2 linked regions of the Drosophila melanogaster genome follow. The protein of the gene in region 1 purifies or fractionates together with the protein of each later gene. This does not show direct contact. Each region holds a gene or a part of one and is shown on either strand. Other genes may lie near its edges. The genes, in order: pod1 and par-1.

Region 1 (4,960 bases):
AACCATTCGCAGGTATTAAGTAATGTGTGTGTGTGTGATTAGAGTTAAATCAAAAATTAGTGCTTCTCATATGTGGGCAGAAAGTGCATAAATATAGTCAGCAGAGCGTATTTCCATGGAAACCGCACATTTGCCCAATTTCCTTTCATCGAGAGGGGATATGAACTTACTTACTAATATGGTTTTAAAGCGTAGGATATTATTAGTTAAAAGAAAAATATTTCGATTTTTTTAATCTAGTAAAACGTTGTGTAAAATCCTTGCCTACTTTTCTGCTAAGCCCCACAAATTGTGCGGAAAATGTTAGGGATAACGTTTGCAGAGGCCAAATTCGGTTCAGGATTTCCGAGAAATGTTTAATGCGATTTAAATATATATATGTACATATGTATATGAGTGATGTGCCTCAAAAACTCTAGTCAATAAGGATTTTCGGAATGATTTAATTAAACAAAATTCTACAGATAAACAAAGGTCAAATGCAATCGGAGAGTTCCGGGAAATATTCAAGGAGCTTCCTTCCATATGGGATGCAGAGTGAAATTCTATGGTTTATACAAATGGAGTAAAGACGACAAGAGGATAAATTCCAATTAGGATGACAGCCTTTTTATCCAGGTTTCAAACCATATAAATTTAGGAAGAATTTTAGAGGAAAAAAAAGACGAGAGTGTGTGTTCGTGTGTGTGGGAGCGCAGCGGAGGTGCGAGGGACGAAATGAAAATAGGAAGAGGAAATGGAAAGGAAAACGAAAATGTTTGCGTTCGCTTCTGGAGTTGTTCTTTCAATGTTTAACACTTCTGGAAGAGAGGCAAATGCAACTGCAGCATCTAAAAGTCTAAAAATAGACTTGTTGACAGCTCCCAAAACGAGCAGCAGCAGCAGCAACAACACGAACAACAACAATGAAAGGCGGGGGCGTTGCTGGATAAAGGGGCGCGGGTTTTGTGAGCAGTACAGGGATAGTGGCAATAGGATCAAGAGGATGGTGAAGGGCAGAGACGGAGGCGGAGGCGGAGGAATGTGTGTAAACGATGGAGGCGAATGCAAACGGTAAACTGTGTGGAAATTGGAAGGAAAAGCCAAGGAGTCGCCAAAAAAAAAACGAAGAGAGCGCTTAAGAGCGAAATACTGACCGATTTTCTGCAGTATATTCATGATGAGGCCGTGTGTTTCCGCCAGGATTCACAGATTTCCCTCTTGGCAATTTTCATTCTCCTTTTTCCGCAATGATATTCGGTTCTTTTTGCTCATAGCCGCAGGCCAGTAAATAATATAAAAAACACTAAATTCTCTTTTCCTCTCACACGCACATTTTCATCGTTCTCCGCTTGAGTAGTATTAGTATTTGCTCACACACACAGTACAGTATTTTTATTTGATATTTCGCCCCGTCTCGCTCTAACTACACATATATGTACATATATTTATAAAGTTGTGTTGCGATCCGCACTTTGTATTCACTTAAATTCAATCGCACTCGCACTGCACTTTTGGCCGGCTCTCATTCGGTCCAAAAAAAAGAAAATATAAAAAATAACAATACAATTTTAAACGCGCAACACAACAACAAAATGCGGTGACCGTCGCGCAGTGCTGCTAAAATGCTTCCCAAACAATGTGAAAATAGTGACGAAGAAAGTGACGATTAGATCGCAATCGATAGCTCTGTCGATAGCGCTGTGGCGATGTATGGGTGCCACCTCTAGCACGCGGAGATGGAAACTATCGATAGACGATGACAAAACGTTTGAAAAAAAGTTGAAGATCTCTCGCGTAGTTTATTGATTGCATTGGTAATTTAATTGCAATATTTGTAATTACAAGCGGGAGAATAATCACCGGCGCGTGTGTGTGAGCCTAATCGCCGTGTTTTTCCTCCCGTGTGTATGTTTGCGTGGGTGTGCAGTTGCAGCACTGCAACTCAAGTGTGCGTCTGAGTGTGTGTGTGTGCAAAACTGCTCCTTTGTTTGCCCATAAAAAAAGAAGCGGCGTCGCCTTTGCGCAGTTTTTGTTGGTGTAGTTGCACCACCCCCTCTCCGGCTACTGCTCCCCACTCCACCCCCGCGCGCACCCTTTGTTGTTGCATTTGTAGTTGTCATTGTCATTGCCGCCGCTTTGGATTCTTCCTCTTCTTCTTCTGCCGGCGCCAGGGTGTGTGCTGCAAAAAATAAGGAAAAGGAAACGAAGGAAAAGCGAAAAAAGAAGTATATAAAAATAAATTCACCCCTCTTTTCATTGAATGGCACGCAAACTAGAAAGTAACAACCAATAATCAAATGCAATGTATGCAAAATATAGGATGGAAAACTTGTGAAAATGTCAATAAATGCATATAAGCAGCAACAACAAGAACAACAAAGTGACCAAAAACCAACCACCAGAAGTGCAAATGTGTGTGTGTGTGTTTAGTGGGCAGTGGGTGAAAACAACAAAAATGCTAGCCGGCTTGTTTCTAGCCACCCCCAACCAAGCGAAAGAGAGAGATAGGGATGCAGATGCTCGTGCTCTCCCACGCCGCCCGCTGTCATCCGTTAACCGTTAGCCGCTGAGCTCTCCTGCAGGTTGCACCTGTGCCCGTCTCGCTCTCACTTTGCAACATCACCTCGTTATATTGCCTTTGATTTTGCTTTTCTAAATCACTTGACCCCATTACCTGGTGGCTCCGCTGGCCAATACCTGCTTGGCCGTCCCCCAGCCGCACCTCCTTTTACCCCCAGTGGTCATTTGTTTTGCCGCTTTCTAACAAACAGAAACAGTTGAATTGGCGCATGCTCTCTCCCTCCCGCTCTCGCTCTCTCGACGTTTGCTTACTGCACTCGGGAGACTACACAGTGCGGCCTCCAGAGAGTAGAGTATAAAAATAAAGTAATAACTAACTAAAGACGTAGAAAAATATATATTTTTGCGCAAACTAATATTTTATTTGTTTGATCCAAAGGCTCATTGATGCCATTGCACTGTGATGTTTAGTTTACAGAGTGCTCACTGTGCTTATCCATAAACTGCAAGCCAGTTGGTTGTGTTTGTACAAGGGTATGTGTGTGTGAAACTCTCCATGAAATTTATCAAAAGGATCGTTAACCCTTAGGTGTGGCATATTAACCCTTACCGCCGCTCGGATCATACTGTTTGTGTTGCCATTTTCAGCAGTTGTTCATACACGTACTTCATATTTGCAAATTACACATTAGAAATTAGTGCAAATTTAAGTAAATATATGTTTAGCTTGACAGAAAGTGAAGAAATAACGCTGAAAAGAGGATCACTAACCCTTAGGTGTGCCAAATTAACCCCCACCGGCCGGAACTCATCATATTTTGCCCAGTGTTTTTCCTCGCCTTTCCTGATGATGTACAAACAAACATTCGCATACATACTCAAACAAACACGTACGCCAAATGCGCGAGTGTTGGTCGGGTTGGCTGGCTGGCTCATCCGGCTTTGGTGGACACCATTCTTGTCCAGCTTTCTCTTTTCAATAGACGTATCGCCGCAATAGCAAGTGCATCTCTCTTTTTTTCCCCATCCATACTTGCTAAATGTATTATTATTTATATTCGGTTATCGGCTATTGTTTGCCCTATCGGATTTGGATGACGATGAGTCAGGAGCGGCGGGCAAGACGATAACAAACTGTGGAATGTCCCCCGCGCACCCAAGTGATATCATACTCGTACTTATGCGGCTATTTTGCCATTTTCCAGAAACGAAACTCTGAAACGGAGCAGCGGAGCGGAGAGCGAAGCGCAAGAGAGCGACTGAGAGGGAGCCACCGGACTAGTGACACTCGACCATCAGGCATCAAGCATCGGGCATATACAATCCACAATCGACTCTCTACACTCGAGCAGAGAACGTCCATATCCATATCCACATCCGCATCGGATCGCCATCACATCGGATCGAAGCCCTCCCAGCTCAACCAAGTAGCCAACCATGGCCTGGCGATTCAAGGCTTCCAAGTACAAAAATGCCGCACCCATTGTGCCCAAGGCGGAGGCATGCGTCCGCGAGATCTGCGTGGGCAGCTACCAGACGTACGGTAACAACATCGCCGCCTCCGGCGCCTTCATGGCCTTCAACTGGGAGCACACCGGGTCCAGCGTCGCTGTCCTCCCGCTGGACGACTGCGGCCGGAAGAGCAAGACCATGCCGCTGCTCCATGGACACACGGACACAGTGACGGACCTTAAGTTCTCCCCGTTCCACGACGGGCTGCTGGCCACCGCCTCGCAGGATTGCCTGGTAAGAGATCCTTTAATATTATTTGGGAGTACCCCTAAATGTTTCAAAAATATATTATGTGTTAGGTCATTACTTTCCAATGATATGTCCATAGAGTTACTCAGAATATATTTTTTTTCTTGTTTTATTTTTGCAATATTATTAATTTAATAAAAATGTATTTTCCGTTTCTCAAACATTAAATGTTTATTTACCAGAAGCTACAGATAAAATAGTTGCATGTTATAATGAGTTTATGAGTGTGATAAGAACGAACAATCAATAATATGCTATTATTAATATTAATAACTCACCAGAAACCATAATTTCATCGCAACGCTATCACATTAGTCACAAATTAGATAGTCAACATGACACAAAGTCCCCCTGCTAATCAATCACTACCATTGCAATCCACAGGTCAAGATCTGGCACATACCGGAAAAAGGTCTGGAGCAGTCGCTTTCCGATCCGGAGGCAATCTTCTCACACAAGCAGAGACGCGTAGAGACAGTGGGCTTCCATCCAACAGCAGATGGTTTGATGTACTCCACAGCCGCCGGCTGCGTGGCTCTCTTCGATCTCAGCACTCAAAAGGAGATATTCTGTGAGTAAACACATTCTTTTTTTTTTTTTTTTTTTTTAAATAAAACCCTAACTAAATATGTTTTTTCTCTCTACAGCGAACAATGAGCACCCCGAGGTGATACAGTCGGCCAGTTGGCGCGAGGAC
Region 2 (5,229 bases), on another chromosome or scaffold:
TTGCATGTTAGGCGAACCCTGTAAAAACAATGGTCAGGGGTAAGTAAAGTTATGTATTTTGGTGTGCATCAGGTGTCGGTTATAATTTATATATAAAACCCAACATTTCTGTGACAATCCTGATTTATGACCCTTTAAAAACCGCATTGCTAACGATTAATAGTTATATTAAATGCGATTTTAAACCACAGTGGTATTGCTTTCTCTGAACCAAATGATGAAAATTATATTGAAATATGGTAGATAAAAATGGATTTTGGTTTTTATCCCGTTTACCTGCGCAGCATTGTTGCTGTACACATTGCTGCGGTTTGCCACCACGCTGGGTACGCGGCTAGTGGGATGATGTCCTACAGGCGGGTGAGTTGAGGCTGTTCCTGACCTCGACTCGTGTCCCGAATGGGATCTTGGATCAACGCTGTGTCTGGTCGAGCTGGTCACATGCTCTGCTCGACTGGAATTGTACGGAGGAATAGGAGCCACAATCGGCCGGTCCGAACGTCTTTTCGAACTGGCTGCATTACTTCCTGTTCCCGAGGCACCAGATGCTCCATGACGATGTGAGGATTTTTGGGCCAACAAAGCTTCAAATTGTCGCAAATTCTCCTCACGCCGCTTAGACGCTGAAATGGTAGTGGCCGTAAGCTTAGATGGAGCCACTCCATCCACCACGCTGCTGCTGCTACCGCCACGACTGGCCGAGCCGGAGGTGGACGTGGTGGAGGAGGAGCTCCTGGCCGCCGGAGTGGGTCCAGTGCCAGCTGGTCGCCATACCGCTGGCTGTTTCTCGTCCTGCAAGTGCTGCTTCTGCTTAAAAGTGGCCCTCATGGCCAGCACCGTATCATTATTCTTCGTATCGGAGGCAGTACGTGCCAGTTTAGCCTTCACAGCATTTGCTCCGTTTGCGGCAGCAGCCGAGTTCTTGGAATAGGCTCCGATCGAGTTACGACCATCGCTGCCGCGCTGGAATTCCGATAACATCAGCTCATTGCTGTCATCCAGTTCTCCTGCCCGCCTGCCGCCCAAATACTGAAAATCATTCTCGGAGGACATGTCACTAATGCCCGGTCGCAGAAGGTTTTCCGTTTCACCGTAGCGCTTGCTCTGCTTGCGCTTGATCTCCAGTTTCATCACGTCCATCGATGATTGGGATTGTTGGTTTTGCTGCTGTTGCTTAAAGCTCTCCTCCACGTTATGGATGTGCTTCTCGATGGAGCCGAGGGCAAAGGACACACCGGCATCGTCTTCGGTGGACAGAAGGCGTGGCATTGGCGGCTTTTGGCGTTCTTTGGGCGTGGGATGCGGCTGTAGGGTGGGTAGAGCCGATACGGCTATCCTGGGCAATGGAGTGGCTTGGGCATCACGTCGTCGAAGCTCCACTATGCTGTCGTCTTCGGTGGCTCCATCGAGATCCTTGTTGGCAAGATGTGTTTGACGCAGTTCCATTTCCTTTTCCGTTTCCGGCAAGTTACTGCTGCTATTGTTGTTGTTGCTGCTGTGGTTGCTGTTCTGGTTACTAGATGGCGCCACACTGAGCTTGGGCGGCGCAGGTGCCGCCCCCTTGCGGGCGGCATACAGCCGGACACTCTTCCTGGTGGCATCGCCGCGATTCAAGTCAGGTGTTGTGGTAGTGGTGGCCTCCATAGCTCCTCCGTTTTGCTGCTGATTTCGGTTTTTCTGTTTTTTTTCTCTTAAATTTTTTTGTCGTGGCACTCTTCCCTTGAGTGTGTTGGTGCACAAGTACTTGTTGCTCGGAGAGATCGCAACTTTTTCTTTTTTCTTATTTCTTTTTCAAGTTGCGCTTGGCGTGTTTATTGTTCTTACACTGTGAGTTTGGGGAAAATTATTAAATTGGTCTTGGGGCTTCGGAAGTACAATGCAGCTCACACCGACAGGAGTAAGTGCTTGTGTGTGCGTTCGTTTGCATTGGGCTTTCTAAATTCTCAACGTTACTTTTGTTTGTTTTTTGTCGTCTAACCAACACACAACAAGTCGCAGTTGTTGCGCATTAAAACCTCGAAAATGAATTAAACACACAGCTAGCAACTTCCATTTCTACGTATGTACATATGTATGTACAGATGGGCGGACGGGAAGCGTGTGTGCGTGATATTTACGACAACAGGCGGACAAGAGCTAATCTGTCTCCCCGGTGACACTGAAATAAACACACGGCAGGCGATGTGGGGATGTGAAAGGGAGGGCAATATACCTAAACACACAATTACATACATAGCAAAAGAGAGTGCGCGAGAGAGAAAAGCGAAGTGGCACCTACACACCTGTGGTGGAGGTGAGCTCTTGTGCGTGTGTTTGTTTTCGGTCTCTCTCTAAATTGCTCTCTCCTATTTCTACTGCTGTTGCACAAGCTCAGCTGAGATGCCCTCGCTCTCTCTCGTGTGTGTGTCACGCTTTTCCTGTCCCCACCCCCACCCTCCTCTCCCACGCTCTCTTTTCAGTTTTATGATTCATTTGCCTTTTCGCTATTTTCCTTTGTTGCTTTTAATTACTGTCTAAATAGTTACGATGTGGAGATCTACAAGTATCTGAACAATTCGTCCGTACGAGTCGTTTAGTTGCTGGCTGGTTATATTCCATTTTTATTCGTCGCTGCTTCAGTGAGCAAAGCGAAAAGCTCCAATGCACACACACAGACACACACATGCACGGTCGCACCAACACATTGAAGCAAATGAACTACTTTTAGACAATTGAGCCGACTTTTTCACTGCTGAAAAACACAGTTAGGCTATATACATTGGTCGTTTGATAGTGTGTGAGTATTTTCTTTCTTTTTTTTTCACTTGGTCTGTGGACTATAAAAAATCACATTTCGCGCAAATCCCGATTATTAAAAGGTTCGTTTCGTTGGCCGGAGGAGTTCTTTAACCACACACGGTTATCTTATCGCAGAGGCACGCGGCTTTCGCAATTTTTCGCACTCATTTTACGTGGGGGTTTGGGTATTCGTACTAAATTATAGCTCCTCCTCTGCAACTCTGACGTAAACGTCGTCGACAGGCTACGACTACAACTATACGATTTACACCAACAAAAAACAGCAAAACACAGAAGACACCGAAAAACAAAGCTAAACAGGGCTCAGCAGCCAAAGAGCCACTTGGCCACTCAGCAACTGGAACTGGAGTGCCGGAGAGCGAGAGCGCGGAGTATTCCAAAAGCACGGAATCGCTTCGAGCAGCGACGTCGACTGCGGCAGCGGCGTCGGCCTTAATACACCAACACACCAGCACAAGCACACGATCAGTGGGCAGCTCTCTCCACTGGTGGAGCACTACTACCATTAATACAGTATCTCTATCCGTATCTGCATCTGTGTACTTGTTCTCCCACAAAGAGAAGCCCCGTTTGGAGCTCGAAAGTTTTGAGAGTGTATGAGTGTGCGAGTACCACTGAGCGTAACGCTGGGAAAGAAACTGTTAGCCGTGTTTGCTGCAGGGTTTAGTGTTCTGCGCATGTGCGCAATATATAAGTTCCACCAAGTTACGCAAAGCGCTTCTTCCCTGATTTACTGCGATTAAAGTAACATTCGGTTGGACTTTGGTTTTCTATTAAAATCAATCAATTACCCAATAAGTTCAACTGCTTCCTTTAAAGTTAATCAGTTGATTAGGTGATGCATTACGTAAGAGTTCTAAGTAATAAAACCAAAAGGACATGATGTCTGAAGTCTGAGTCGGAATTCTACGGTCGTCGCGAAGATTTCACTAATCAACTTCCCCCGTTCCCCTGTTTTACTCTATATCAATCACCAGAATACAAAGACCGAGGAATACACACAGTTTGGTACTAAAAATGCAATCCCGAAAGAACATTATTATGAACATCTTGTCGTCAAATAATTGTAAGTCATTTGTCAGCCGACACAATAAAATTTGTGAATAAAATATATAGAGACACGAGTGATACGACATAAACGAAACACATTAGGTATACTTAAAAATAAATAATCTGGAAAATAGAGAAACTCTCATTTTAAGATATCAAAAAGTGTCTCATATGAAATTCGATCATTCTGTCAATTTGTAACTCGCCAAGTTTGGTTTTAATTTATTCATACGAGGTATCAAGTAGCTGAGCCTGTATAAAGTGTCCGTATTAATTAAGCTAATTGAATAACTTGCAGCTTAATCTACATTAAGACAAGACAGCGAGATTTCAGTCAAGCCTTTCAGGTCCCAAACAAAAACATTAAAGATAGAATTTCATTTTTCGCATGCTAGCTAACAGGAAAATCTAATGAGGTCAACTATTATGAACTTGTCCTCCGGACAATGCAATCGTATAGTTATAGAAACAGAGAGCCCGTAATCCCTATAATCCCCTAATCTTTAAACGTATTTGCGTTGGGTTTTTATGTAGCACTTGTGCGATTAGACTGAAAATATATATTAGTTTCCATATGGATTATAGGAATTCAATGTGGGGTAACAAAAATCTGAAATTAAACAAAATCCGTAATCAAAATAATAGAAATCGTTATTCATTCGATTGTGGAAAAAAAACCAAAAACCGTGACAGATACAGACAAAAACGAAACAGCGATTACGATTAGATTGAATGAAGGTGGCAGCACAACAACGATAAATTTGCAATGTTCATAAATGAATGGGGAAGTGTGAGAGACCGACAAACTTTAATCACAACAAATATAACCTTATTGCCCCACTCTTTTGAAATGAAGTAGCAAGGTCAAGTGTAGTTTTGCTCAAGAGCCTAGGAAAGTTTCTAAATCACATAATTGCCAATATCGCAAGCTCCCAATATAAATCCTCCTATATCTTCTATTATATTAATTATGCAATAGTATCTAACGGGTTACCGTTACCGTCGATGGATTTCGATAAAATGTAAGCAACCATCGATAATATCGATAAATTTATATCCAATATTACATACCCTCGAGTTGCGAGCCTTGTCACTGGATGATGCCGACTCCTTGGCCTTGGGCCTTTCCGCCTTACTGGTGGCCACAATGGGCAAGCCGCCGTTTTCGATCATTGTCACCACAATCTTATTGTTCCGACTGCTTACGGTGCCACCACCACCACCGCTTGCGTAGGATGAGTTCGCCGCCGCAGCTGAGGCTGCATTTGTGGCCGCTAGATTCTTCTGCCGCAGGGCGTTCGATAGCCGTTGCTTGCGTTCCGCTCGGGCCTCCTCCTTTTCCCGCTGCAACTTGGCAATAGTGGCGGGCGTGTGGCTCTT

Evidence for each region.
Region 2: the proteins of pod1 (region 1) and par-1 purify together in Drosophila melanogaster (affinity purification with western blotting, with the first as the bait; one study listed by BioGRID). This does not show direct contact.

Annotation. Positions count from the first base shown.
Region 1 is NC_004354.4:6,801,971-6,806,930, forward strand, and holds the start of pod1 (pod1 coronin), read left to right. Parts: upstream 1-1,713; 5' UTR 1,714-1,796; intron 1,797-2,125; exon of another isoform or gene 2,126-2,207; intron 2,208-3,014; exon of another isoform or gene 3,015-3,036; intron 3,037-3,157; exon of another isoform or gene 3,158-3,279; intron 3,280-3,414; exon of another isoform or gene 3,415-3,505; intron 3,506-3,707; 5' UTR 3,708-3,939; coding exon 3,940-4,248; intron 4,249-4,647; coding exon 4,648-4,834; intron 4,835-4,910; coding exon 4,911-4,960.
Region 2 is NT_033778.4:19,465,386-19,470,614, reverse strand, and holds the start of par-1 (par-1), read right to left. Parts: upstream 3,150-5,229; 5' UTR 2,974-3,149; exon of another isoform or gene 2,802-2,973; intron 1,826-2,801; 5' UTR 1,645-1,825; coding exon 277-1,644; intron 19-276; coding exon 1-18.